Linked DNA regions of Mus musculus: all the other regions are reported to be linked to region 2. Evidence: microRNA targets listed by miRTarBase, many of them from high-throughput screens and not tested one by one. Region 2 holds a microRNA gene; each other region holds the end of a gene's coding sequence.

Region 1 (4,232 bases), not on the chromosome of region 2:
GTGCACACACACACACACACACACACACACACACACTTAAATGGGAAGACAGAAGCACAGGTACAGGCTGGTAGTCAGAGATTTATTCTCGAATCCGGATGTTTTCAATCTTGCAGTTCACATGTCTCAAGAATTCAGCGACATACACTGGCATAATCAGAGCAAGATCAAACGATAAATGTGATCAAGGAATAATATATGAGAGTTGGAACCATAACACATACACATATTATAAAGATTGCACATAAATTAAACATGACTTGGTTACAAACAAAAATATATCAGTAAATATACATGAAAAACAAAAACCAACAACGTGGCCAAATGCTGAAACACAGGTATCAGGCTCATTTAAAAAGGTTTTAAAAACACATAAAACTACCTTGGAAAACACAGGTGTGCATTCCTCGTTCATCCAGCCCATGGAGAGAGAGTAAAGCAAGTCACACAGTGACCAAGAGACGCACCTGATCAGAACGCTCAGCTCTGATGACTGTTTGGCGTTGAGCACAACCGCATGCAACAGAGAACTAAGAAGGTTGTCGGTGTCATAAACACCGGAGCTTCTTTGAAGGAAGAAGAAAAGGACATGCCAGGTACACAGAGAAGATGCTGAGACCGCCCTCCTCCCCCTAGGAGACCCCTTGTACACAGAGGCTCTGTGTCTTACGGAGGCTGAATTTTGCTATGGCATTAGTCAAGAGACTAGAGGGATTGGCCCCTCCAAAGTACAAGTGCTGCCCCAACTGTGCCCACAGGAGCGTGGCTTCTGTTTTTCTCTGGAATGAGACAAGCTGTTTAGAAACAGGCAGGGTCTCTGCCTGCAGGAGAACCTGGGGCAGCCCCAAGGTGAGGAAAAACACTCATTAGAATACTTTTCTAGACATCCTGAAAAGATCTACCCTAAGGCATTTCTTGATACAAGAGATGCCTGGGATTCTAAGGACCAGTAACTAAGTTGGGGTGCCAAGGTGCGTGGCCGAACTTTGGCTTGGGACCCATGTGAGGTCACCTTAATTCTAGTGGGCTTACTGCCCTCTGTCCCGCTTCAGTTACAGCAAGGCGTTGAGCTTGGGTCTAAGATGGAGACAAATGAGACCACTGGCCAGGGAAAGCTCCTCCATCTTCCATCTTCTGCCTGTGCTCCAAGGCTGCTCAGAGAAGGGGAGCTCCCACAAAGCACAGGCAGCCAGCCCTGCCTGCAGCTGGTGGTGGTGGTGACAGTGGCCACTGTCTGCTTTCATCCTGCATGCTGAGTGCCAGCTTGTGCCTCTGGATGGGACACTCAGAGCTGCGGGGCTTGAGATAAGCGTGGTGACCCGTTCACCTGTATGAAGCAGTGACAGACCCTGGGGTTGTCCCTTGTACACGAACAAGAACAAACTGTGCAATAGGCGAGCATGATCAGTCCTCCATGGAGATAAGGCCTTTGTATTTTCATTTCTCTTTTAAAAAGTTTAAAAAAAAAGTTCCCAAACTGTGTTCAAAGCCTTCAATGAGTTAGACCAGATGTCTTTTTTTTTTTTTTTTTACATTGTGCTCATTTGCTAGGTATCTAAATGCCATAGGAAGATAATTTTTATTGAAGTCAATGTTTCTACATTCCTCCTCCTCCTCTCCCTCCTCCTAACCTACCCTCTCAGGCAGTGCGCCTGTCACTGCCACCTGAACTCAGAGGTCTCAGCAGCCTTTCCTCCAAAGGTAAGTTAGATTAGGATCTTCCCCCCCTCTCATTTTTAAAAATTAAACACCAAGAGGTGGGACATTTAAGAAAAAAACTGTACAAATCTAGATTTTTAAGAATTCCTTTCTTACAAACCATCTTAACTTTTTACAAAGAAAATCTGACATCCTGAAATGGCTATCAGCAAATTGACAGTGCAACAGTTTGTGGCCATTCTACCGTGTGTGTGTGTGTGTGTGTGTGTGTGTGTGTGTGTGTGTGTGTGTGTGTGTGTGCAGCTGTGGTTGAGTATCAGCAAATTGACAGTGCAACAGTTTGTGGCCATTCTACCGTGTGTGTGTGTGTGTGTGTGTGTGTGTGCAGCTGTGGTTGAGCCTGTAGGCCCAATTAGGGTCAGTACAGGCAGCTGTGTCAGTGGGCGGGCCGTTGGGAATGAGCTTGAGTGGATTCTGAGCCAGGCACACAGGCAGGCAGCAAGTGGTTCCAGGAACACAGCTCAGATGGCTAGTTTGGAGGGTACTGGAGGCCTGTGAGAATAGATGGCCTGGTATAACACATCTCTTTATCAAGCCTACAGTGGCACTACACAGCCTCTCATGAATGCCTTTTAAAACTCATAGGAAAGTCACCACCATCTACACCTTGTACATCTGAGACCTGGATTTGGGTTTCAAAACCCTCTGGGTGTTTGTTGTTTGTTGTGTTACAGAGTCTCACTGTAGCCCAAGCTGGCCTGGCCTGACCTGGACCAAATCCTTATGCCCCAGCCTCCCACGTGCTAGCAGTGCAGTGATGCACTGCCGTGTCTGCTTCCACTCTGATCTTTCAAATGCAAGGATGGACCACATGGCTGAGACCCAGGACTCTACCAAAGCCCCCATGCACACTGTTTGCCACATTCCGATGCCCTGGGTGCGACAGTTGGTGGGGAGAGTAAATGTGCTCTGACTCGGAGTCCTCTACTGGTTTCTCCACAGGGGGTTTCAGGGGTTAGTGTCTTCTCACAAACACATTTGACATGTTAAGAACTACATTTACAGATGCATGATGTGTGACACCATGTGACACCTGATGTGGGACACCACATAACATGAATCTAATAGAACTAAGATACTGACTGGTGTTAGCAGAAATATATATCTTTCCAGATAGTATTTGACCTTAACATGTTATTCCAATTTTTAAAAAGGGCATTTACAATTTAATAACCTTACAGCAGGTAGCCTTTAGAACATAACAAAATATATACAAAGGAATTAGGAAGGATATTAATATCCACTAGGAAATAAATTAACATGATCTCTTTTTTTTTTTTTACAAAATATACTGACCATTAAATTAAAAAATATTTTAAGGCAGGAATCTTCATTTGAAATTAGCATAATCAGAAAATATATCGATAAAATCTTGTACCACTTTGTAGCAGAATTCATATTGCTCCTGAAAAGAGAATGAGAGTATATTAGTAATATATTAATACTAAGCAGCTTCACACATACCTGATGCATGTAATCAGAAGATGAGCTAGAAGCCCAGTTGTCAGTCAGTCTGCTGATGCATCAAAGTCCGGGGCTCCCTCCCACACATCAGTTTCTGTTACACAGCGGGCCTTTTAGGCATGAGCCATGTTCTAAACCAAGCTGTTTGTCCATGCAGAAAACATCAATTTTTAGGTTCACACTAGTGTGTTTTCAGTATGGTCTTTGGAAAACAACTCTGCTTTTCATATTGACATTGGAAAATATTTTTTTTTTGTGTGTATGTGTGCAGGTACACATGTGTTAGCTTGCATGTGGAGGACAGAGGGTAACCTCAGGTGCCCTTCCTCAGGCACTGTCTGCTTGATTTTTGGAGACAGCATCTCTCACTTGGCCCAGAAATTGCCAAGTAGGTTAGGCTGGCTGCTTGTGAGCTCCAGGAAGCCTGTCTCTATTTCCCAGGTGAAGGATCACAAATACATGCCATTGGGCCCATTAGTGTGTGTGTGTGTGTGTGTGTGTGTGTGTGTGAGAGGGAGAGAGAGAGAGAGAGAGAGAGAGAGAGATGTTTGTTGCTCATCCTAGCCTGACTTCCTACTGTAGCCTAGGATGACCTCAAACTCTTGATCTTCCTGCCTCTACCTCCCAAGTATTGGGATTATAGGCATGTACCACCACACCTGAATGGAAACTATTTCTGAAGTGGAGAAAAGGAAACTACCAGGGTTCTAATACTGAAGAATAAAGCTCACACTGCCTAATTTATAACTGTTAATCAGATGAAAATCACATGCTTCCATATTAATATAGACACCATTAGGATTTACAAGACTAAAGGTCTTAGGTTCCCGTGAAGTCTTTCCATAGTCACAGCCACAGCCCACCTGTCCTTGCACATGCGTCAGGCCACCTGTCAAGAGTGTGTAGAGACAGCAGGTGGGAGAGAGGTCCTCATTAGGAGGCTCTGGGAAATGATGAACTCAGCCTTTAAGACTGCCCTTGCCCCTCCAACATGAAACGTTTTGGAATTCAGTGCAGACTCTCTCTCTCTAACCAGGAAGTGTGCTCTG
Region 2 (4,232 bases):
ATATACATACACACATACCCATACAAACATGCATACAAACACACAGAAAATGGATACTCATTGTTCTATTGAATGATATGTGTCTTAGAGTCTTAGAGATTCTGTATGACTGGGCCAGGGAGAGGTCACACTCACCATGTGACGCCCCTTGCCAGAGTCAGGGTGATCAGGAGTGCAAATTCATGTTAACTGCGTGATGAGGTAGAGATCAGCCTGTCATTCATGTGATGGCCCCTGTGTATGTGCATGTGTGTTTGTGTGTGCGTACATGTACATGTGTGTATATGAATATACATATACATACACGCACACATAGATACGCACGCACACACACACACAGGGATGGCACTCATCAATCCATTTGAATGATAAGTGACTTAGAGTGAAAATGCTTACTAGAGTTAAGAGTATCAGGAGTTCAAATTCATACTTATCCTCATGAGAATTTAGAGATCAGCCTGTGATTTATGTGATTCCTCCATGTATGTGCATGTGTGTATAGTTGTGTGTGCATGTTCATGTCTATATTTGAATATACATAACATACACACACACGTATAAACGCAAGCACACATACACAGATACAGGAATGGCATTCGCCAATCCCTTTGAATGATAAGTCATGTAGAGTTTTAGAGATTATGCAATAGGGGACATTGAATGGTCTCACCCACCAGGTGTAAAAGATTGACAAAGTCAGGAGGATAAAGATTTCAAATTCATGCTTAATTCAGTTAGAGATCATCCTGGTATTCATGTGATGCCACCCATGTATGTGCATGTGTGTTTACTTGTATGTGCATGTGCATGTGTTGACATGAATATACATAACATAAACACATGTGTATATGCAAGCACACACACACACACACAGAGAAAAAATTGCATTCATTTATATGTTTGAAAGATATGTGACTTAGAGCTTTAGCAATTATGTAGTACTTGGCCAATGAAACTTCTTACTTACCAGTAAAATGTTTTTCATATTCAGATGGATCAGGAGTTCAAATTCATGAGTAACTTCAAAATGGTGTACAGATCAGCCTGGCTTCATGGGATCCTCCCCAATGTATGTGCATGTGTGTATAGTTTTGTGTGCATGTGCATGTGTGTATATGAATAGACATATACATCCACACAAACATATACAAGCAAGCACAGATACACACACAGGAATGGCACTCATCGATCCATTTGAATGATAGGTGACTTAGAGTTTTAGAGACTGCAGTAGTGGGACAGTGAATGGTCTCAGTCACCAGCTGTAAATGATTGACAAAGTCTGGAGAATCAGGATTTCAAATTCATGATTAACTTCAGTTAGAGATTATCCTGGTATTCCTGTGATGCCACCCATGTATGTGCATGTGTGTTTACATGTGTGTGCGTGTACATCTGTGTAAATGAATATATATATATATATATATATATACATATATATATATATATATATATATATATATATATATATATAACATAAACATACATGTATATGGACACACGTATGCACACATACACACAAGGAATGGAATTCATTGATATGTTTGAATGATATGTGATTTTGAGCTTTAAAGGTTATGTAGTACTGGTCAAATGAAAGTTTTTCTCACTATGTAAAAGCTTGCCATATTCAGAGGGGTCAGGAATTCATATTCATAAATAAATTCAAAAGAGAGTAGAGATCAGCCTGATTTTATGGGGTTCCCCACAATATATTTGCATGTGTGTATAGTTTTGTGTGCATGTGCATGTGTGTATATGAATATACATATACATCCACACAAACATATACAAGCATGCACAGATATACACACACACAGAAATGGCACCCATAGATCATTTTGAGTGACATGTGACATGTGACATGTGAGTTTTAGAGAGTATGCCGTGCTGGGCCAATGAATGCTCTCACTCACAAGGTAAAGACCCTTGCCAGATTCAGGATGATCAAGAGTGTAAATTCATGTTGGTTGCATGATGAGTTGGAGATCAGCCTGGCATTCATGTGATGGCTCCTGTGTATGTGCATGTGTGTTTGTGTGTGCGTACATGTACATGTGTGTATATGAATATGCATATACATGAGAGCATACATAGACACACGTGCATGTGCGCTTGCATGCGCGTGCGTGCACACACACACACACACACACAGAGGATATGTGATTTACAGTCTTATAGATTATGTAGTAGTGGGTAATGAATGGTCGCACTCATCATGTGTAAACAATTTGCAGATTCAAGAAGATCAGGAGTTCAAATTCATGCTTAACTTCAGCTGGACATCATCCTGGTATTCATGTGATGCCACCCGTGTATGTGCATGTGTGTTTACAGGTGTGTGCATGTGAATGTATATATATGAGTATACATGTACAGACACATGCAGCACACACACACACACGAATGCCACTCATTGATCCATTTGAATGATATGTCACTTAGCATATTAGAGATTATGCAGTACTTGGCCAGTGAGTGCTCTCATTCTCTAGGTGAAAATCCTTGCTAGAGTTAAGAGTATCCCGAGTTCAAATTCATACTTATCCTCATGAGAGATCAGCCTGTGATTCCTCCATGCATGTGCATGTGTGTATAGTTGTGTGTGCATGTTTATGTGTGTATTTGAATATACATAACATACACACACACGTATAAACACAAGCACACACACACAGACACAAGAATGACACTCATCAATCCATTTGAATGATAACTGACTTAAGAGTTTTAGAGATTATGCAATAGGGGACAGTGAATGGTTTCACTCACCAGGTGTAAATGATTGACAGAGTCAGGTTAATCAGGATTTCAAATTCATGCTTAACTTCAGTTATAGATCATTCATGTGATGCCACCCATTTATGTCGATGTGTGTTTTCGTGTGTGTGCATGTGGATGTATGTATATGATTTTGCATATACAGACACATGCACACACATGCGGCACACACACACACACACAAATGACACTCATCGATCCATTTGAATGATATGTCACTTAGAGTTTTAGAGATTATGCAGTTCTGGGACAGTGCGTGATCTCACTCTCCAGGTCAAAATGTATGCTGGAATCAGGAGTTTTAGGAGTTCAAATTCATGCTTAACTTCATGATGATTTTAAGATCAGCCTGTGATTCATGTGATTCTCAGCCATGTATGTCCATGTGTGTATATTTGTGTGTGCATGTGCTTGTGTGTATGTGAATATATATATCATACGCACGCACACACACACACAAATGCAAGCACATACACTCTCACACACAGAGGAATTGAATTCATCCATTAATTTGAATGCTATGTGACTTATTCTTTTAGAGATTATGCAGTAGTGGGACAGTGAACGGTCTCACTCGCCATGTGCAAACATATTACAGATTGAGCAGGGTCGGGAGTTCAAATTCATGCTTAACTTCAGCTGGACATCATCCTGGTATTCATGTGATGCCACCCGTGTATGTGCATGTGTGTTTACGTCCCTGTGTATGCACATGTGTGTATATAAATATACATACCATAAACATACATGTAAATGCAAGCACACAAACATGGAATGGCATTCATTGATACATTTGAATGATGTGTGACATAGAGCTTTAAAGATTATGTAGTATTGGGCTAATGAAACTTTTTACTCACAATGTGAAAAAGCTTCCCATATTCAGAAGGATTAGGAGTTCAAATTTATGAATAACTTCAAAATGGCTTAGAGATCAGCCTGGCTTTATGGGTTCCTTCCCAGTGTATGTTCATGTTGCATAGTTTTGTGTGCTAATGTATGTGTGCATATGAATATACATATAAATACACACAAACACATACACACAGGCACACACACACACACACACACACACACACACACATACACACACACACACACACACACACACACATACCCCGAATGGCACTCATTGATACTTTTAAATGACATGTGACTTAAAGTTTTAGAGATTATGCAGGGCTGGATCAGTGGGTGCTCTCACTCACAAGGTGAAAATGCTTGCCAGAGTCAGGAGGATCAGGAGTGGAAATTCATTCTCAAATTCATGAGTCCAGGATCAGCTTCGGATTCTAGTGATGCCCCCAGTGTATGTGCCTGTGTGTATATGTATGTGTGCATGTGCATGTGTGTATATGAATATACATATACATACACACATACCCATACAAACATGCACACAAACACACAGAAAATTGACACTCATCGATCCATTTCAATGATATGTGAGT
Region 3 (4,232 bases), not on the chromosome of region 2:
GCTGTCCTCAACAATAGGCAATGAGGACAGGCATCAATTTAGTATCTGTGCAGTGCTGTGCTCAATGTCAAGCTCTGTCACTGTAACCCTGTAGCACTGCTATGAAAACTCCAGCCCAGTGCCTGAAAAATACTAATAATCAGCTCCAATGAATACATGAATGATCTGGTGCTCCTCACAGCAGCCCTGCTTCAGGGCTCTCATTATTCCCATTTCTACAGATGAGAAAACTGAGGCATGAGGTTTCCTAACACATGGCTTCTATGGCTATATGTATTTCGTTCACTGCTGCAATCTACAGATGCACAGAACGGTGTGTAACTGATGTGAGTTAAACAGTGCACATGCACATGAGTGATGTGAAAACAGATGGAAGACTGGGAACAGGAGACGAAAATGAGGTGTGTGAATACAGTCAGAGTGTAAAATAGACAGCCATGAAAAGTTCATCGTGAAACCCATAGTTTGTATAATAAATATAAAATATAGTGCTGAAAACCATTCAAAACCCCAAGCCAAATGAGCAACCAAGCAACTAACCTCAAACAACAACAAAACAAATAAAACAAACAAACAAAAAACCAAACCAAATAAACGAGTTTACCCAAATGTGTTGAATCTATAACACAATCACAGTTTCCTTTTGAAACTCAAAAGGTGAGCACACAGAGGGTTGAAATAACAGTTCAAGGGACATTCAATCCCTTCATCTTCACCTCCTACTTGACACTCGGAACATCTGTCTTGTCTAATTCTCAGTAAGCACAGGGCTTTCTCTCAACCGCTTGTAACTATGTTGGATACATTTTGACACATCCCAAACACTTTGGCCTCTGCCTCCTCAGAGTTGGGACCTATGGCATTCATACCTAAGACAATTAAGATCCAATTACATGTCCTTAATTGTTCCACAAATTCCTGTCTGGGTTTCTTTCAGTGAGCATGTAGTGAAGGGCCATGAATGTCAACTAGCTGCTGTCCTTAGTGAAGTATATGCTTTGAATTCTATTCCCTGTTGTCTGGGAAATTCTTCTATCAACTTCATCATTTGATTGTTACAGCCTTATTACACTGGCCAACTTGCCTCCAGGAGGGTTGGCAAATGCAGGAGCAGTCAGGATTCGCTCTGAGGAAAATATCTACACCATCGAGGAGAACGTATATGAAGTGGAGAATTCAAATGAGTACTACTGCTACGTCAACAGCCAGCAGCCATCCTGACCGCCTCTGGACTGCCACTTTTAAAGGCTCGCCTTCATTTCTGACTTTGGTATTTCCCTTTTTGAAAACTATGTGATATGTCACTTGGCAACCTCATTGGAGGTTCTGACCACAGCCACTGAGAAAAGAGTTCCAGTTTTCTGGGGATAATTAACTCACAAGGGGATTCGACTGTAACTCATGCTACATTGAAATGCTCCATTTTATCCCTGAGTTTCAGGGATCGGATCTCCCACTCCAGAGACTTCAATCATGCGTGTTGAAGCTCACTCGTGCTTTCATACATTAGGAATGGTTAGTGTGATGTCTTTGAGACATAGAGGTTTGTGGTATATCTGCAAAGCTCCTGAACAGGTAGGGGGAATAAAGGGCTAAGATAGGAAGGTGAGGTTCTTTGTTGATGTTGAAAATCTAAAGAAGTTGGTAGCTTTTCTAGAGATTTCTGACCTTGAAAGATTAAGAAAAAGCCAGGTGGCATATGCTTAACACTATATAACTTGGGAACCTTAGGCAGGAGGGTGATAAGTTCAAGGTCAGCCAGGGCTATGCTGGTAAGACTGTCTCAAAATCCAAAGACGAAAATAAACATAGAGACAGCAGGAGGCTGGAGATGAGGCTCGGACAGTGAGGTGCATTTTGTACAAGCACGAGGAATCTATATTTGATCGTAGACCCCACATGAAAAAGCTAGGCCTGGTAGAGCATGCTTGTAGACTCAAGAGATGGAGAGGTAAAGGCACAACAGATCCCCGGGGCTTGCGTGCAGTCAGCTTAGCCTAGGTGCTGAGTTCCAAGTCCACAAGAGTCCCTGTCTCAAAGTAAGATGGACTGAGTATCTGGCGAATGTCCATGGGGGTTGTCCTCTGCTCTCAGAAGAGACATGCACATGAACCTGCACACACACACACACACACACACACACACACACACACACACACACACACACACACATGAAATGAAGGTTCTCTCTGTGCCTGCTACCTCTCTATAACATGTATCTCTACAGGACTCTCCTCTGCCTCTGTTAAGACATGAGTGGGAGCATGGCAGAGCAGTCCAGTAATTAATTCCAGCACTCAGAAGGCTGGAGCAGAAGCGTGGAGAGTTCAGGAGCACTGTGCCCAACACTGCCAGACTCTTCTTACAGAAGAAAAAGGTTACCCGCAAGCAGCCTGCTGTCTGTAAAAGGAAACCCTGCGAAAGGCAAACTTTGACTGTTGTGTGCTCAAGGGGAACTGACTCAGACAACTTCTCCATTCCTGGAGGAAACTGGAGCTGTTTCTGACAGAAGAACAACCGGTGACTGGGACATACGAAGGCAGAGCTCTTGCAGCAATCTATATAGTCAGCAAAATATTCTTTGGGAGGACAGTCGTCACCAAATTGATTTCCAAGCCGGTGGACCTCAGTTTCATCTGGCTTACAGCTGCCTGCCCAGTGCCCTTGATCTGTGCTGGCTCCCATCTATAACAGAATCAAATTAAATAGACCCCGAGTGAAAATATTAAGTGAGCAGAAAGGTAGCTTTGTTCAAAGATTTTTTTGCATTGGGGAGCAACTGTGTACATCAGAGGACATCTGTTAGTGAGGACACCAAAACCTGTGGTACCGTTTTTTCATGTATGAATTTTGTTGTTTAGGTTGCTTCTAGCTAGCTGTGGAGGTCCTGGCTTTCTTAGGTGGGTATGGAAGGGAGACCATCTAACAAAATCCATTAGAGATAACAGCTCTCATGCAGAAGGGAAAACTAATCTCAAATGTTTTAAAGTAATAAAACTGTACTGGCAAAGTACTTTGAGCATATTTAAACCAGATCAATGGTTTTATTCAAGGATGTCCTTATCTGACAGTCTTTAAGCAAGGGCATGTATATAAAGATGGTCACTGCTGTGGTGTTTACATCAGTAGGGGGATGGTTGGTTACACGGTGTTACAGTTTATATAAGATTTATAACTTGGCAGATATAAAATCAACTTGGAGGTCGATCTCTGCCTGGGTCTGTGAGGCATTTTCTAGATTAGGTTAAGTGAAGTGGGAAGATCCACTAAACATTTTCTTGTGTCCTGTCCCCATCAAAGAAAGTGGGTCAGGTCAAGGACACCAGAAGGAGGCAGTAACCTGGAACTAGAACCCTTGTTTTAGACTTGGGGTCACTTAAAATCAAGTATTTGGGATGGAGTTGGTGGGTGGCACAGGAAAAATGAGGTAGTATAAGGGACCAGGAAATGGTAAAGAGGTAGCTTAAAGGCTTCAAAATGAGAGGGTGGAGAGATGGCTCAGCTGTTCAGAGGGAGTGTTGTGCCATTTCGAGGACTGTAGTTTGGAACTCAGCGCCTATGTAACAAGGCTGGAATCTATTGCAGGCCTGTCACTTTGGCGGAGAGGGTCAGAGAGCAGGATGACTGGGGATGACTGGGCTTCCTGGCTTCCAGCCTAGCAGAGAAACAAGAGAATGGTTGATTATATGGTGTGATAATTTATATTGATTGCTAACTTGACAGGGTCAAGATGAATCCTTAGAGATGAATCTCTGGCTGTGCCTGTGAGGTACTTTCTAAATTGGGTTAATTGAGGCGGGAAGACCTATCCTAAGTATGTTAATTGAAGAGGGAAGACCTGAAGAGGAAAGCGTGGATGGGGACTTTTCATGTGCTGGTGTTCAGGGAGAGACCCTGCCTTATAGAGATAGAGAGAAACAGAGGACGACACATGATTCCCTCTTCTAGTCTTTGTGTAAGTGCTTAGGCACATATACTACACACAGATGTGCAGCAACTTAGTTTGATCCCTGGACCCTATGGTGAAAGACCTGACTCCTGAAAGTTGACCTCTGACCTCTACATTCACACTGCCTGAGCCTGTGCTCACACACTTATCACGTATAGACACAATAACAATACACGGAGTTAAAAATTTAAAAAAGCAGCCAGGCATGGTGGTGCACGCCTTTAATCCCAGCACTTGAGAGGCAGAGGCAGGCATATCTCTGAATTCGAGGCCAGCCTGGTCT
Region 4 (4,232 bases), not on the chromosome of region 2:
CTGCACACTCAAGCATCACTGGAGTGACAAACAGATTTCCCCAGATGACTTCTAAGTGAAAAGAAAAGAAAAGAAGAGAAAAGAAAAGAAAAGAACAGGATAACATAAACTCATATTTAAGTAGTAAACATGTCAGATATTTAAAAATAATAAATACAGAATAGCAGGAAAGAAACTATTATCATAAAACAGCATGGAATATATTTTATTTTCTTTAAGACAGATGAAATTTCTAGGCACAGTTTTAGGCATTAAGGAGGACACAGAGGCATAGGTTAGTGTGCGCTGCTCTGTACAAAAATACAGTCTGAATAAATTACATTGCTAGCCATACAATTAGACAATCACTTACCAGTCAGTTCACTGCATGTTTAATAATATACAGGTACATGCTTATCCATATATATCATTTATATTTCAAACACATAAGTCTCTCTATATTTGTCTTTAAAATTTACATGTTGACCTTACAAAAAGCTAAATACTTGTGCAAGAAATCTGAATAGCTAGCCCTGCTGAATAATGTTAGGGTTTCTCTGTGTGTATATCATCTCTCTAAGGTAACCATGGATGGGTTCATGACTAACAACTCTGTTTAAGAAAACACCAATCCAACCTAAAGCTAGAAGAAATGATGCTACTATAGCTGAAATTATCACTTGTGTTTATTCAGATAGACACATTACTTAGGACAAGAAAAAAAGGATTTCCCCACTGTACTAAGCTTTCTTAGTAATGAAAAAGTTCCAAATATGGTAAAAATGTAGCTTAGGGCTCGTTAATTGGGAAGGGAGAAAATTACAGAAAGAATCTATTTTTCAGTAGATTACAAATATCTGTGCTTCAACCTGTAACATAGCCTATCACTTTTTGGCTTGCCATGTGGACAGAGAATGGAAGCTCTATCATATTCTTGATATTGGTCTAACTGCACACTGTATCCTTCAACAAGCCTCACTGATGCCTGCTGCAAAGTTTTCATCGCCTCTTATTCATTCAAGAATAAAGAGGTCCTCTCACAAGAGGCTGTGGTCTGTAGCTGAAATCCCTATCCAAATATCACATTTCTTATTCTGTTCTCCCAATATGCAATGAAGTTTATAAGAGAACCTATCCCAGATTTTGATTTTAAGAAAGCGGCTTCAAAATAGTCTATAATACTAATCCCTTTCTGGAAATTTTCCATTCAGTTCCTTATGATTCTTGATAGAATCATACATTTTCATAAAGTTTGATCTCTAAGATGCATTTAATAATGTTTGTCTATCACCACTAAAATAAGAATGAATAAGGTATTTATATTTACTTTGATTCCATAGGAAATTCACAATTTATTTTGACATTTGAATAAAACATTTTTCAGGTCAGGGAAAGACAGTTGTTCTTGGCAACCATTCTTAAGATAAGCTGAAAGCAGAAATCTGCTCTGGGAGGTAAAGCAAATTATTAAATGCTATTGACACAGTCTTTTTCTTAGTGAATTGTATAATATATTAGTAAATAGATACATTTTTAATGTTTTCTTCCCCAATGTTTCTGTCTTCAAGAGGGTCAAATGAGAGAAAACTTGCTTTAATGTCTTTGTTAACAAAAATAATCATTTATAACTTTCCTATCAGAATTGTATATTTTATATAAAAATAGGCTTATACTTAAACTATCCAGATTTGTATAATAAACAGAATTAACACAAGTTTGCAGTAAAGATCAATTGCAAACTTATTCCTTATTGTTGATGTTTTCTTCCCTTGGAATAGTCAGTGAATAATTTCCCTAACATAAATTCATCACACTTGTGTGCACAAATCAGTTAGCCCATCATTTAACTTCAGAGGACCAGGTAACAACGGAATACTACTCATCTACTGAGACTTTTAGACATTTATAGAAATCTATCACTATTCCTTTATTTTAAAATGAAGACATTTAAAATACTTGCAAAAATAGCAGCCTTGTATTTTAATGAATTTTACACAAAGTGATCATTCTAATTCCTACTCTCTTTTGAACTACAATACTTATAAAAGAATCATTAAATTTCAGATTAACAACATTTCAATTTTACTTCTTAGGCAATTCTATTAATACTTTCCAATGAATCAGTAGAGAACACAGAGCAAAAGCTTTAAGGTATATGAACTTTTGTATGGTAAGTAACTGTGAATACTGAGTCTGTTGATGCATACAAGGTTAGTGTTCAAATTGCTTCACTAGAGCAAGTATTGATTATATGAATGATAGGTACATGTATGTGGACTATTAATGAGCAACTTATTACCAGTATGGTAATGGCTTGTGGTGTAGAAGAATAAGCTTGTTACATATGGACAATTGTTTGCTGCAAAATTTTTAAAGGATTTTAAGGGTACAAAAGCAACTCATGCACATTTCTTTCTGATTGCCCCAGGGGAAAGCAGACACCCTCAATTTTATAACTACATAATGAAAAACACATGTCTCCAAACGTTGACTTCCTTCCCAAGAGATGATAATTGGTAAAGTATAATTTGCTATTAAAAAGAACAGCCTTAAAGGTAGAATTAAATGGCTATATCTATGATTCTCATTAGATGCCCAAATGGCAGTTTCAAATTCCAAAGCAAAGTAACCAATAACCAATATAGCCACTGCGCAATATAAACAGGTGATAAGGGCTCCAACAGTAGAAATGTCAGAGCAATGGAACTTTTACATGTTGCTTATGCAGCTGTTTCCCTGCAGGCAAAAAGAGACTCTGGCAATTCTCATTCCAACTAGCTTCTCAAAATGGTTGCTGTCATACAGATCCTTCACATGTCAAGAGAAATGGCATAAGCATATTGGAAGTTTGCAGCATATGCCTATATCTAATCAGCATTCTTAATTTGTGCAGGTCCCTAAAATGGATATAAAAGCTGGTTATGATGTTGACACCCAAAGGCAAGGATATTAAATCAACTGAGCAAACTGCTTGAGGCTCCACAAGTGTTTTAGAAAATAGTGTTAGAAAAGATGTCAACACAAATCTTTTGTTGGATGGTTAGTTTCTCTTTTTCATGTGGTGTGTGTGTGTGTGTGTGTGTGTGTGTGTTTGTGTGTAATGTGGTGTGTGTAGTGTATGTTTTGTGTGTGTGTGTGCATATGTGTGTTTGTTTTTCAGACTTGATTTTAGTAGTAGTCTTCATAGTTCTTAGGGTTCAGGCAATAAAGAATGGCACCCCCAAATGAAAATATAGTTGCACCCCAGGCCAGGCCATAACCCCAATTGAACTCGTGGTAAATTTTCAAGCTCACAGTTTCAATGAACTTGATTGGATAAAGAACCAGGCTGCAGACCTGCAAAACAACTGGAAAAAAAGAAAGCAAACAAAATTATGATGTTATTTATAGCAAATAAAACAGCAAAACAGTGAGTTAATTTTTAATGAAATAAGTATAAGCCAAAAAATTAAAGCACTTCTAATTCCAAATATTATCTTTTAAAATATTAACAGCTTTATTTACTTAGGTACTGTCACAATACTGTAATCATTGCTCTGTTAATGACTTGTAGTTGCTATTAGCAAAAATGAAATTATTAAAAAATTAATTCATGAATATACAAAGTGATTCTTGCTCTGCAAACACATGTACAATTATCACTAATGACAGTACTATTTACACTAAAGTATTTCATATAATATCTATAGAGTTAATAAGAGTGGCCTCCATGCAGACTTAAGCCCTCATTATTTATTTTTGAATTTAAGGAACTGAAGAATTCAACATTTTAGTGATAAAGCTGAGCAACCTATAGCAACCTATTACTTAATAGATGTTCACAATCATCTGACTCAGCCAATATTCTAGAAAGACTAATCTTAATGTCTTTTTTCCTATTACTCTAATAAGAAACTACTTTCACTTTTTCTTCTCACACAGTCCACACCATTCATCTTAAAGAGACTCAAAAGTCATCTTTGCCACAAAGCCACAACTAATTCTATCCTTTTAGTATATCTTATACTTATTTGCATGTACATATATTTCCCACAGGTACTCAAAAAAGAATTAATTAAGGAATGAGGAATATAGATCCAAAAAAAGAAAAAAAGATAGGACAAGAAGACTACTATAGCAGAGACAAACTTTAGATCTTAATTCTTAGTTGGCTCTTAGTTCTAACTCAGGAATGAAAGAGAACTATAATGAGTCATATTTAATAAAAGAAAACAACCAATTAATCAGTAAGGGAAGGAAGGGGAAGGTTTCTT
Region 5 (4,232 bases), not on the chromosome of region 2:
CTTGAATGGCTCCCACCTGCAGTCTAGCATTTGGTTGGAGGAGGCAGCTGATCGGCTTGCTTGTGCCCTAGTTACCCATCTCCCATCAAGAGGTCCCTGATACTGTTTCAGACAAAGCCCACAGCTATTGCACCCTATATAAGCAGATTCCCCCAATCATAAGGAATGTTTTCCAACAAGGTGGAAAAACTGAAGGAGCTAGAAGTTAGAATCATTTTGCAGGTGTTATTTGGAATAGCAGCAACTTGGGAAAGCATGACAATGGAGGTTTGTCCAGTGCTTGCTAAGTTCTCAAAGGGAGCTATACATCAAGGCAAAGAAAATTGAACGTAATTGCTTTACGTAAAATAGGTTTGGGAAGAATGATTTGTTTTTCCACTTGATTCCTTTGGTAAATGAGGTGTTTGGCAGAGAATAATCATATTCACATGTGACAGTTGTGGAGATTTTCTTCGAAGATCAAACCTGTCACTTTGTATAATAGTGTATGACTTACTCAGGATATTTCTACAAAGGTGTAGGATCGTTTGATAAAAGTGTAACACTGCTTACTATTGGAACTTTTCAAACTGTTTGGTATTAAGTACATTTTGAAGGCACGTTTCTTTTGAATGAGATGAACCAATATTTAGGTGATGAGCAAAAATTTTGGCATTATATAGATAATACCTTAAAAATGGCCCACCATTGGAACCTCCCATAGACTATCCCAGCAGTGTGTCTGTTTAATGATTTAATTAGCCCACTGTCACAGAGGGTCTGAAATTCAGAGTGAAGAATATCTTGGATTATTAGTCCATATATAGAAGTGGAATAAAAACTTGTGTCAGGTCTCCTGACACGTTGTTCAATAGCCCTTCAGTATTTCTTACTGACTCTTGTTTTGTTTTCTATTTCAGTTGAAATATTGAGCAGCAGAGTTACAGAGTATCAGAATCTCTCAACAAGAAACTCCGTGTGGCCTTTCTATATGTATTCTCGTATGTCTTCTTGTACCAACACGACAATAAGCATGGTGCAGTCAATATACTAAAGCGCATATACCTGTTGACAAATTCAAATTTTAAAAATCTGTGGAGATGTTAAAGCAAATAGAAAATTAACCAGTATGTGTTACCTTATACGGATTCATTGTATATGAATTAGCATACAATATACAACCATACAGGTTTGTCATGTATATGAATTATCAGATCCATATTACATGAATTTTCCATATGATATGAATTACCATATTGAATATAACTGTAAAATGTTGTGACTGCTTTCCAGTAATGGTTTATAATAAATGAACTTCCACAGTGTACTGTAGGCTTACTGTATACTCTTGGTGGATAAATTCTGTTTTGGAAGTGTTACCTTACTGTTTTGTTTACAAGATAGTCTATAGGATTGATGTAGAATGTAACTGATATTTCCCACACCATTTTCCTCCATTGGTATATTGTATTAAATTGGGTTCTGCTTAGCTCTTTCATGCTATAGTGTTTTCTTGTTTATACGTGATATTTGATTTCAATTAAAGCATCATAAGTGGTGAACAGAACTATATGTGACTGAAAAATGTGACAGGTTCATGGTAATATGCCCTCTTTAAAACATTTCTGCAAGTTTCCGGAGGCCTCACTTCTGAGTGTGCACAAAATCTCTTCATATATAGAATTTTACCTGTAGATCTGACCTTGCATAGTCAATAATATACTAAATTTTTAAAAGAGAAAAAAACTTCCCTACATGTGATAGGAAAGTTCAAATGTTAACCTCAAACCATTCCTCTTAAATAATTTGAGAATCAAGTGTTCACATTCCAATAAATTTCTTAGCATGTATAAAAATTACGGAGAGTAGCCATTACATTTATTGTGTTACAGGAATCCTATCTCTCAGCTTGAGTGTCTAAATTTGAGCCATTTGTCATCTTCAGCTGAGAAACTGGTACTAACTACTTTAAAGGTATACTAATCACAGGCTGAAAATCAAGCAGAGAGATGTGGGCGTGGAGACAGTTTTTATGTACTGGAAGAAAGTGTGTAAACCCTTTGCATTGTAACCTTTTGCACAAATGCTGTTTTCCAAATGCAAATGGCTCGTGCTCTTTTGACTATTCTTTGAATAATAAGTAAGATGCAGTCTGGCAAAAGTCAGGCCAGGTGAAAGAAAATTGTTTCCAAATGAGGCCTTGCCTCCCCAAATGGACCATCTTTTCTATTGATCACAGAAGGAGGCTGAGTACAGGTTTAGAGAAATGGCAGGAATGGGGGCAGGGAGAGATTTAAAATGACTGGGAATGTGCAAAAGAACTAGAAAAGGTTTCCGAAGTTGTCTTTCGGTTTAGTTTAATTTAGTTGAGTTTCCAGTTTTTGTAAAGGCAGCAGTGAATTAGCAAGCATTTGTGCTACTGTATGGACAAGGGTTTCTCTGCCAAAACTTTAACATCAGAGGGTTGGCTGTGGGGGGGGGAGATGATGATTTGTTCAGTTTTGTCTCAGAACCAAACCTATTTTTGTCACATCTGAACTTACTTGCCTTTGTGTGTGTTTCAAAATTAGTTTTAACATCCTTTGGTTAATAGAGAATAGCAATAGCCCCATGGAGGTGTGATATGAATTCTTCTTAACTAATACTTAGGAAATAAGCTACAAATATGGTAATCCATCTATTTCTGTGACATATAGTGTACTTCTTCTACTTAGCACTACTATTGTTATAAGAGGGAGGAAATGTATTTTCCAAAAGCCTAAGTAAATTGAATATTTTATACTCAGTATATATTCTCCCACCAGAAAGCATAAAATCAAATTTTTGTACATATAACAGTTGTTTTTCTTCATGAAAATCGGGAGGAAAGAGAGACTGTCCAGGATATCATAAGACAGGTAGTTGGATTGATTTGCCAAACAGTGACATTGGCAAAGACTTTATTGCCTTTTCTACGGTTGGTAAAACAGAGAGCCAGACTGTGTGACTTGCCTCAGGCTGGCTGCCTAGCCATTGTGGGAACCAATTGCTCTCCCTCTTTACATCTTTCTTTGGAACATTTGAGACTCCTATGCAAAGCAGATCAGATCGGCTCAGCATTTTAAAAAAGCAAAACTACCTCTGGTGGATGGTATCTCATTGATCTTAATTATCCAGGTGAATCCTGGTTACCAGTGATTGCTAAATACTCTTGTTTTTATATTGGACCTCCGCCCTTTGTTGACTATTGCCTGGAGCTAAGAGATTGAGAGTTGTCTGTCCTTTTACCTGTGGGCTCTTTGAACCACTATATTTCTGTTTTCTAACATCGCAATTCCAGGAAGAATCTACCTGAGCTAGTCTAGATGTAGTTATTAATGGATATGGAAATGTTTTGTGCAAAATAAACTTTTTGTAGTTTGACACTTTGGTGCAACATACTATCTGGTTTAACTTCTTAAAATTTTGATCAAGATATATGTAGATGATAAACTTAGAGTAGAGTTGTTCTCTTGTTGCTCTAAGCACTGGAAGATATTAATGTTGACTTATATTTAGGAGGAGATTCAGTGGGGAACATTCAGGGTAGTTGTCTTTTTGGTGCGATGAGTTTAATATAAGTGTTAGCATTTTAAAAGTTGCAATGTACATGAAGCTTAAGAAAGCAAGCTCAAAACTCGAACATTTTGATCAAATTTGATGGAGTTTTGAGGGAAATGAAACTTTAAGCTGGCACTCTAGTTGTGCAGTGACTAATGATCTTATTGAAGAAAAGACAAGTCATTTGACTATAAATTGAGTTAACCAGACCAGTCACAACCAATCAGTGACTCTAAATGAAAATTTACCCAAGTATTTGTATATAAACCAAATTCTAATCAGATGTGATTTCTAGTTAGCATTTTTTAGTTTTTGTGTTTTGCCATGGCCTCTATTTTTATTTCTCCAAAATTATTGGCTTTGTCCATCTCAGCCTTTTGCCAAAATTTGCAAGAACACTGAAACTTGGATAAAATGTGTCAAACCTACAAATAAGCAATCTAAATTTGTCATTTAAGAAGAGCTTAGTTTCAGTTTTTGCAAAAAACCATGAGACCGTAATGAGTAGGAACTAGAATGAAATTGAATGGATTCGTACAACTGCTATTTAAATACAGTGTTTACTTTTGAAATTGGAGCATGAATCCACACCTAGCTATTGCTTTTCATTTGACTTTTCTAGATAAATTTTCAGTTTTCATCTATTCATGAAAGCAGTCTGCTTGCTATTCCAT
Region 6 (4,232 bases), not on the chromosome of region 2:
ACTCTACATTTCTAACTAGCTCCAGTCTAAAGACCACACTTTGAAAAAAAGTCCTTGATTATATGATGCCATCTAAGCTTAAACTGTATTATGTTTTATCCAATTAAATCAGCCAGAAGTTTAGCAGGCTTTCCTATAAAGGGACAAAAACTAGCTACTTTTAGCTTTGTGGATCATAGGGTCTTTGCTGTGACACTGATCTTATACAAGCTACTCAGATGAACAATCTCCTGTTATTAAACTTTATTTGATAATTTTCTTCTCTTACCAGATGCATGGCTGCTGCTGTAAAAGATGCAGGCGTATCACCTGAGCAGATATCCTATGTCAACGCACATGCCACTTCCACACCACTGGGTGATGCCGCTGAGAACAGAGCCATCAAGAGGCTCTTTAGGGACCATGCTTGTGCCCTTGCCATATCCTCCACAAAGGGAGCCACTGGGCATCTTCTGGGTGCTGCAGGGGCAGTTGAGGCAACTTTTACTGCACTGGCTTGTTACCACCAGAAACTCCCACCAACTTTAAACCTGGATTGTACAGAGCCTGAATTTGATCTCAATTATGTTCCACTGGAGTCACAGGAATGGAAAGCTGAGGGTCGGTGTATTGGACTCACCAATTCCTTTGGGTTTGGTGGTACTAATGCAACTCTTTGTATTGCTGGCATGTAAACACTGGCTTTTAATGGTCATAAATTTATAAATATTATATATGTAGATATGTCTTATATCAATATCCAATGACTTTAGCACAATTGGTATTTGTATAGTTCTTTGGTAGGGAACAGGGTGCCCAGTACTTGTTATTTTATAGCATCTTGGTGTCTCCATTGAGATTTCAGTGGCAACTAGTGACAACCAGAAATGTCTATGGAGGACAGAATAACCTGCACACAGAACCATTGATTTATGTTTTTCTAGTGCACGATTTCATCCATCATGGTCCTTTTCAGATATTTATTTAGAGACCAGCTTCTCTGAGCAAGGCTGTGCTGCTCCATGGTGTAACTAACTCTAGGGTCACCACTGTTGTACAGCATATAAACAGGACTACAATACAAGTACTCCTATTTGTATCACCACTCAGCATCCCTTTAGGACAGCTGTCAGCCAGTGATTCACCCCTGACCCATGTAGTGTCCTTGGTGGAATTTCCCCAAGCTCCCAAGATTTCAGTTCTCTGAAGGAGGAAGTAAAACAGGATTTCCTTTTTCTTGCCTGTTCTTGACCGACCTCCCTCCCTTCCTTCCTTCCTTTCTTTCCTTCCTTTCTTCGTCATCTTTTTTTCGCCTTCTTTGAGACATGGTTACTCAGGTAACCCTAGCTGTCTTGGAACTCACTCTATAGACCCTGGCTGACCTTGATCTCTATAGGGATTTGCCTGCCTCTGCCTCCTAAGTGCTGCAATTAAAGGTGTACACCAGCATAGCCTGGCTGGTTTGGCTTTTCTCATTCTAGATATGTTTGTGATGTGGTGAATGGACATAAAGATCTTTGGAAAAAACTCTTGTTAAGTTAGGCCAGCTCCTCTCTAACTTCTAACTTTGTGACTGTGACAATGTTCTCCAAGCTTCCTACTACTAGGGTAGCAAGTTCTTCAGAGGTGACAGCCATCCAGGAAAGCATTTGGTAGGCAGGGCTTTTATCTCTTCTGAGTAAGTGTTTTCATGTCTATGCAGGTCCACAATGATATGGAGCTTCAGTCAAGTGCCTACATTTCCTGGGCTCAGTAACACCTTTAATGGCTTTCTGTCCTTGTACTGTTTAATGATTTTTATTCCAATTCCATGACAAACTGCCTTTTGGCCTCTGCTTTCTTAGTGGCACACACACACACACACACACACACACACACACACACACACACAGTGTGAGAGAAAGGGAGATAGTAAAAAAGGAGATAAATGGCTATATGCCTATGTGCCTTTCTGCAGAATGGGGAGCAGTCTCACATTTTACTTAAAACTTTTTGTTCTTGTTTTAGTTTTTTTAAAAAAATAATGTGTATGAGTGTTTTCCCTGAGGAGCAGAAGATGGCCTAGTCAGCCATCATTGGGAAAGAAAGGCCCCTTGGTCGTGCAAACTTTATATGCCTCAGTATGGGGGAATGCTAAGGCCAAGAAGTGGGAGTGGGTGGGTAGGGGAGTGGGGGAGGAGGGTATGGGGGACTTTTGGGATAGCATTGGAAATGTAAATGAAGAAAATACCTAATTAAAAAAAGAGCTAAAAAAAAGGCAAAAACAATGAGAGGATTGTTGTGTATACTGTACATGCATCCTTGGGAAGAGCACTAGCTAATAATGCAATCAGCACATACAATGGTGAGCCTCTCCCTACGGTAAATGTCATTTAAACATTGTCAACAATTATATCTCCTTTCAAAACTGTTGCCTGTAAAATGATTGAAAAGCACTAAGTAGACTATATCAGAATGGGAATGAAATCTAGACAGTGTGATTCTTTTCAAGCTGTGGTCACACAGTTAAGGGGAAACAAAGCTGGGAAAGAAAAATTATTAATTTTAAAATTCACTATTTGAATGTAACAATATTGTATGAACTCAAAAATGTACTTTAAAAGGAAGAAATTGTTTTTAATGTGTAATTCATGGTTGGTGAATGAAATTTTTATTTTTGGTACAATAATATAAATGAAAATAAAAATGTTGTAAGATAAACAACAAAAAAAGTCTTCATCAGCTGATTCTGCCAGCTGTGTTTGAGATTCTCCCTTCTGCTATACATCATGCACAGCAGTTTTCCTTTTGATTCTTTAACTGGCAGAGAAAATGAAACCAATCAAAACCCCTAGATGGCCAGGTGTGGTGGTGCACGCCTTTAATCCCAGCACTTGGGAGGCAGAGGCAGGCAGATTTCTGAGTTCGAGGCCAGCCTGGTCTACAAAGTGAGTTCCAGGACAGCCAGGGCTACACAGAGAAACCCTGCCTCGAAAAATTTAAAAAAAAAAATTAAAAAAAAAAACAACAACAACCCTAGATGGTAATGTCAGTCACCTCGACCATCATCTTGGTAGGTCTTGGTGGTCTCCCAGGTGGCAAAACCCAAGATTTTATTCCTGAGCAATGTGAGCCATTGGTGTTAGTCATCTGTTTCACACATAAGTGTGGGGGCCAGAGTTTAGATTCCCAGTATCCATGTACATACCAGGCAACCGTTGCCTGCCTGTAATTTGAGCATGTGGTTACAAACACTTCAGTTTGAGACCCTGCCTATTCAGTTCTTTTTAAGTGTTCGTTGGTCACAGATACTGAACCTGTGTGACAGTTCTGAGGTTCTGCCTTGTGTATGTGTCATAAGACACTAGAATGCAGACTTGAGGGACTTCCACAAGCTATGCAAGTAACCCGTGGATATTGTTAGATCCATTTCTGCCACTTTTGTTAGCCAGATGCATCTTGTGTGTGCTTTGGAATAGCTAGTGACTAAGACTTGTTAATGTAAATTGGCAGCCATTTGCATCTGTGCTATGCAGGTGCTTCTGGGGAGTGAGTATACATGTGGCCCATAAGGCTTCACTCTTAATATGGTTCTTACAAGTCCACTCATATGCCCCTAATTGAAATATTTCTCTCTTGTTCCAGTCCATGCTTCCTAGACTACTAACCAAAAGCCAGGCCATGTATGTATATATTTCACTTTGAGGCTACCAAAGAGCGGTGGTTAAATGAGAAATGTACCTCATAGGCCTATGTATTTGGACACCTGGTCTCCAGCTGGTGGTGCTGTTGAGCTATGAAACCTTTAGGAGGGATAGCCTTGCTGGAGGAAGCATGCCACTGGGAGTGGGCTTTGAGAGTTTATAGCTTGCCGCATTTCCACTCTACTCTCTCGTTTTCTATGAGGGACTGAATCTCACAACCTTCTGCACCAGCTGTTTTGAGGGAAGAGGAAGGAAGGACGGGAGTAAGTCGTGGGTTAGTTGCCCAGGAGGCCCTGCTCTTCTCAGAGTTCAATAAGGAACCAAATGCCCAGGAATGATGTAAGTAAAGACACAGAAGAGATGAAAACAGGCAGAAAGTACCATTAGGAAAGATAGTGTCTCAGAGCCAGAGGACCATCAAGTAGACTGGGCTGGTCTTTTACTGGATCTTGGTTCTTCCCCCACCTTTTTGTTAAATCCCCATTTTTTCTTAACTTCTTCCTCCTCTTTCATTACTTCTTCTCAACCTAGATGGCCCTTGGTCCAGGGAGATTAAACCCTGGGAGGAAA
Region 7 (4,232 bases), not on the chromosome of region 2:
AGGCAATGGTCAAATTCTTTCGGAGATAGATATTACTGCTGCTTGCATACCAGAATCTGATTGTGTCTGTCTGTCTATCTATTATCTATCTATCCTATCCTATCCTATCTATCTATCTATCTATCTATCTATCTATCTATCTATCTATCTATCTATCATCTTAAGGAAGTAATTCAAGAGAAGGACTTGTGAGTCTTGGGCTACAAAGGATTCATTCAGAAACATGGCACCAACATCCCCATACTTGGGAGACAGATTGCTTTCCCTCTGGTACAATTTAGCCAGTGTCAAGAGACAAGAAAGCCGAATTTGGAGAACTTGGAGTTTTAGGATCTTTGAGCTTTTGAAGCTGACTGCTGGCATCTAAGAGTATTTCAGCTCCTTCTAAACCAGTAGGATCTGTGCCCTGCCCCCCCCCCCCCAATCTCCAAGGTGCTTCTCTAGAGGTACTAAGACCCATGCAGGGGTTTCAGGCTTCCAGGAAGAATTTACAGTAGAACTGTGTGCAGGTTCTGACTGCACTGCTGTGCCTACGTGCAAAGTCGCATGAGTGGAGCTGTGTATTGGCACGGGAGGTGCTGGATGCATTTCACTGCTTGTCTCCTATGCTTGTCTGAGCGAGGTTCGACTCTTTCCCCATGCAGTTACAAAGAACTCAGCCCCTCCGTAAGATCTCATGAAAGCCCTTGCTTCCATGGAAGCTCTGGTAACCTTACATCTAGCTGTTATAGATAGCGCCTTGCAGAGTCTTTCTCAGACTTGCATTTGAAGAACTTCCTCATGGGCCTACCAGTAGAGACCTTTTATATTTAATTGTGTGAGGATTTGCAAACCTCCCACTGCAACCATTCCAACAGAATGGAGATGTCATGGTCTCCATTCCTTAAGACTAAGTGAGCCATGGTATTGTTCAAGAAAGAGCCAAGGGGCACATGCCCCATCTACATGTTGGGAATCTCTGCTGAAAATAGCTAAGCACAAATGGCAGTCATTCACCATTTGGTTTCAACAGGTGGCTCCAAGGGTGCAACACCTTTGGGGCTGGTAGCTTTCAAAATGCTATTAAAATACATGTGAGGATTTTACACAAAAGTCGAGGCATTTTTTTTTATAGCTAAACAATTTTATTTGCTTTCTGTGAAATTAAAAAAACAAACAAACACAAAACGAACCATCGTGGTTAAAGGCGGATCAGTGTCAACCAAATGAACCAGCCACTTGGTTCCAGCAGCTGTGAAGAACACGAGAGGATATTATTGCTTTCGTCCCATGTTCATGTATGTGTCTGTTGTGTTTTGGCAAGAGTACAAGCGGATGGAGCTTTGGTTGTTGAAGTTCAACTAGGCCTACTCACTGAAAACAGAACCTCTAGGTGGCTATATGTTCCTTCTCCTCAAGTCTTGACGTGTACTCTTTCCTTCCACCCACCTTCTCTTTCCGTCAGCCATTTGCCCTATTAACAAAGTTAAGGGGGAAGGCTTGATAAGCTGTCCCCCTCCCCGCCCCCCTTCCCCTGCGGCTCCCTCTCTGCCACAAGAGGGTGATGCCTTCCTGGGTCTTTCTAAGCTCTTGTATCTGGTATGTGGCCATGCCAGAAACAAAACGCCTGCCTGTGGTCTACACAGCTTTTCAAATCCATATGGCATTTGGACTCAACTGACTCTTTCCTGTCTTCAGAAACTCCCTCCCCCAAACAAAAACAAACAAACAAACAAACAAACAAAAATCAATAGCCCTTAGCATCAGTAAGGTGACCTCTCAACAGAATGGGCCCCGGTGTCCAGCACACGACATCCCGTGGCAGGTGTGGAGCTGTGACTCTCTGATGATTGTGTGTGTGTGTGTGTGTGTGTGCACACACGTGTATATTATACTGTAACATTTTATCTGCAGAGAGGCAATGACGTTGATGCCGCTTGAGAGCTCCCCTGCTTTGCAAGTTCTGTTCTAACACTGATCTTCCCAAGGGACCCGGGGTCAGAATTACCACATAATAGCACCATTCCCCACACTCTTAGGATTTGGCTCCTTTCCCTGCTTGGAGAAGGCAGGACCTGGCCCCTAGCTTTGTGCTTTCACAGGCTCTGTGGTGAGACCGAGTGGAGAAGCAGGTGGTCTGCCTTGGCCTACTTTAGTGGTGACCTGAATTTTCCCTGGGAAGAGTTAAAAAAACAAAAAGAACAACAACAACAACAACAACAACAACAACAACAACTTGTCTTACAAAGTGAAGTTGGCCTCAGGTGTGAGGCCGAGGTGATTGACCTGAAGACAGTGGGATGAGCCTTTTCCCTTTCCCTTATCTCTGTTCAGGCCCTAGGACGGTTTGCTGGTGAAGGCACAGCAAAACCACAGAGCACTTTTAAGTCACCAACCCTGACATAGTTATCCAATGGTAGGACTCGAATGGCGTTGTAGGGACCCGGGTCCGGCAGTCAGTCATGCCCCTGATAGGATTGGGGTGGAATAAGCCCTTGTAATGATTGTAAGGATTGTCCTCTTTGAATCTAGACCTCTTAAACAGTAGGATATTTGCCCTCACTGTAGCTATATGGCACGGATAACCATGTAATTACTAGCACTTAAAAAGGAGATCCTGTAAATACATAATTATACCAACGTGGCTCATCAGAGCAAAGATTAAGCGCTTCTAGCTTGAATACTTCAGGCCTCTTCAGCTCAACCCTTTACCTCCCAACGAAAGGATAACTCTGTAATTATGAGTGATGCTCAGTGGTCACGTGGGCTGAAAGAGTCACGGGGGGGGGGGCAGCTTCGTGGTCAATGTGTGGCCTATAAAATAAAGTAATACACAGTATTGTCACCTCAGTGAAATACAAGAGTCCATAGAAAAATATTCTCCAATCTGGAATCTGAGACACGAAAGCTGGATTTTGTTTTTTTTTCTTTGTATCAAAAGGAACAAAGTAACGGACTGAAGTGTAGTAGCTTCCTAACCAAGAAAGAAAAAAACCAAAAGGACATTCTGGTTGAAGGACTTCAGAGTCAGTCAGCTTTCCTTTTATGTCCCTGCTCATTGGTGGCAGGGCTTGTGCTTTGATCCTGGTGGAGGTAAATGCACACGAGTGGAAAAGCCAGGGCCCCAGACCCAACTGTGCGGATGGCTAAGGAGACTGGTTTTTATAGTAGAGCTGTCAACAGTGGAGGTGGCCCTTAGCGGGTGACGGTCCCCTCTCTCCTCCTCAGGCGACAGCTGGGGACGAATGCCAGAAACACCACTTTCTCCTTGAATGGTGCTTGTTCAGCGCCAGGTCCTCTTTCTCTCGTTCCCTCTTCACACGCTGGTAGTGGTCTTCCTCCTTCAGGTACCACACAGGGGGCCAGCGGTGCCGCTCAAAGTACTCCTGGTTGTCTGCGGGGAGAGGGGGAAGAGACTGCCCGTGATTCCTGCTGCCCGAAGACTGTCCTGGATGCTCAGTCCTGCTTTTTGCCATTCGTAAACCTCCCAGCATGCTGGCATGGCTGCCCACAGATGCTGAGACTAAAGTCTAATGTGTAGACTCTATGCTAGGCACACAGACCCAAAACCACTTGATTTTTATTCAGAGTTAGACCCTGGCTGTGTACCCCTAAATGAGGGGAGGCCTTATGTTGGCATGCTCTGCAGTGGGGTACCCTCAACTCCACTCCCTTCTTCTCTAAGTAAGACATCCTGCAAAGAGATTCCCCTAACCGAAAATTCTCTGGGTCACGTCACTTGAATGTGTGACTTCCGCACACTCAAAGGGAACTGACCACCGAGTCTGGCCCCTCCCAAGGGGTTTATCTAGAGAGGGCAAGCAATGGATGGCAGGGAGCTCGCAGACATGCTCTTACCTGCTGACTTGGATTTGATTTCCTTGCGGAACTTGGAACAGACGCTGTTGTAGTTGGTGCAGATGTGATGCAAACACCAGGCAGCTAGCTGATTGGCATTGTGAAACTGCAGGAAGGGGACCAGATTGGGCTCAGACTCTTGTTTGCTGAAGCGAGGCAATGGGCCAGTGCTATGGCTCAGCAGGTCAAGGTGCTTGCGGCCAAGCCTGATAACTGAGCTTGATATCCAGGCCCCCATGGAGGTAGAAGGGACCCGACCCCTGCAATTCACCTGACCTCCAAAGGCATGCTGTAGCATGTACACATACATACATACATACATACATACATACATACATACATGGACACAAGTGTGCATGTATACGTGGCCAATAAATGTTACAAAGATTAAAGCA

What was found. Region 2 holds the annotated microRNA mmu-miR-466n-5p (GUGUGUGCGUACAUGUACAUGU, at 2,038-2,059, shown strand). A microRNA usually pairs through its seed, bases 2 to 8, with sites in the 3' UTR of a target mRNA and lowers its output. Matches are read on the target gene's strand: a 7mer-m8 pairs with bases 2 to 8, a 7mer-A1 pairs with bases 2 to 7 and ends in A, and an 8mer does both.
Region 1: miRTarBase lists Ptpre as a target of mmu-miR-466n-5p. Seed matches in the 3' UTR shown: 7mer-m8 at 2,039-2,045 and 7mer-m8 at 1,954-1,960.
Region 3: miRTarBase lists Havcr2 as a target of mmu-miR-466n-5p. Seed matches in the 3' UTR shown: 7mer-m8 at 2,116-2,122.
Region 4: miRTarBase lists Tmem47 as a target of mmu-miR-466n-5p. Seed matches in the 3' UTR shown: 7mer-m8 at 3,112-3,118, 7mer-A1 at 3,103-3,109, 7mer-A1 at 3,071-3,077 and 8mer at 1,794-1,801.
Region 5: miRTarBase lists Mbnl3 as a target of mmu-miR-466n-5p. The part of its 3' UTR that is shown has no 7-base or 8-base seed match.
Region 6: miRTarBase lists Oxsm as a target of mmu-miR-466n-5p. Seed matches in the 3' UTR shown: 7mer-m8 at 892-898 and 7mer-m8 at 1,826-1,832.
Region 7: the mRNA of Rhobtb1 is a reported target of mmu-miR-466n-5p. Seed matches in the 3' UTR shown: 7mer-m8 at 1,849-1,855 and 7mer-A1 at 1,830-1,836.

The regions. Positions count from the first base shown.
Region 1 is chr7:135,682,124-135,686,355 of GRCm38, reverse strand. It overlaps Ptpre (protein tyrosine phosphatase, receptor type, E), which reads right to left. Exons shown (of 21, transcript NM_011212.3): 21 at 62-3,124. The coding sequence ends at 3,050. Among named protein-coding and RNA genes, the nearest start is that of 5830432E09Rik, 32 kb to the right of the region's middle.
Region 2 is chr2:10,511,722-10,515,953 of GRCm38, forward strand. It overlaps Mir466n (microRNA 466n), which reads left to right and starts at 2,020; the gene lies at 2,020-2,113. All of the region lies in intron 10 of Sfmbt2 (Scm-like with four mbt domains 2), which reads left to right. It overlaps Mir669m-1 (microRNA 669m-1), which reads left to right and starts at 1,069; the gene lies at 1,069-1,166. It overlaps Mir669m-2 (microRNA 669m-2), which reads left to right and starts at 1,713; the gene lies at 1,713-1,810. It also overlaps Mir669o, Mir466g, Mir466h, Mir297b, Mir466d and Mir297a-3.
Region 3 is chr11:46,478,226-46,482,457 of GRCm38, forward strand. Havcr2 (hepatitis A virus cellular receptor 2) reads left to right here. Exons shown (of 7, transcript NM_134250.2): 7 at 1,062-3,030. The coding sequence ends at 1,221. Among named protein-coding and RNA genes, the nearest start is that of Havcr2, 25 kb to the left of the region's middle.
Region 4 is chrX:81,093,546-81,097,777 of GRCm38, reverse strand. It overlaps Tmem47 (transmembrane protein 47), which reads right to left. Exons shown (of 3, transcript NM_138751.2): 3 at 1-3,326. The coding sequence ends at 3,148. Among named protein-coding and RNA genes, the nearest start is that of Tmem47, 25 kb to the right of the region's middle.
Region 5 is chrX:51,117,686-51,121,917 of GRCm38, reverse strand. Mbnl3 (muscleblind like splicing factor 3) reads left to right here. Exons shown (of 8, transcript NM_134163.5): 8 at 900-4,232. The coding sequence ends at 911. Among named protein-coding and RNA genes, the nearest start is that of Mbnl3, 86 kb to the left of the region's middle.
Region 6 is chr14:16,237,110-16,241,341 of GRCm38, reverse strand. It overlaps Oxsm (3-oxoacyl-ACP synthase, mitochondrial), which reads left to right. Exons shown (of 3, transcript NM_001359883.1): 3 at 272-2,690. The coding sequence ends at 674. Among named protein-coding and RNA genes, the nearest start is that of Oxsm, 4.1 kb to the left of the region's middle.
Region 7 is chr10:69,288,661-69,292,892 of GRCm38, reverse strand. Rhobtb1 (Rho-related BTB domain containing 1) reads right to left here. Exons shown (of 11, transcript NM_001252637.1): 10 at 3,838-3,943; 11 at 1,102-3,373. The coding sequence ends at 3,204. Among named protein-coding and RNA genes, the nearest start is that of Gm40685, 21 kb to the left of the region's middle.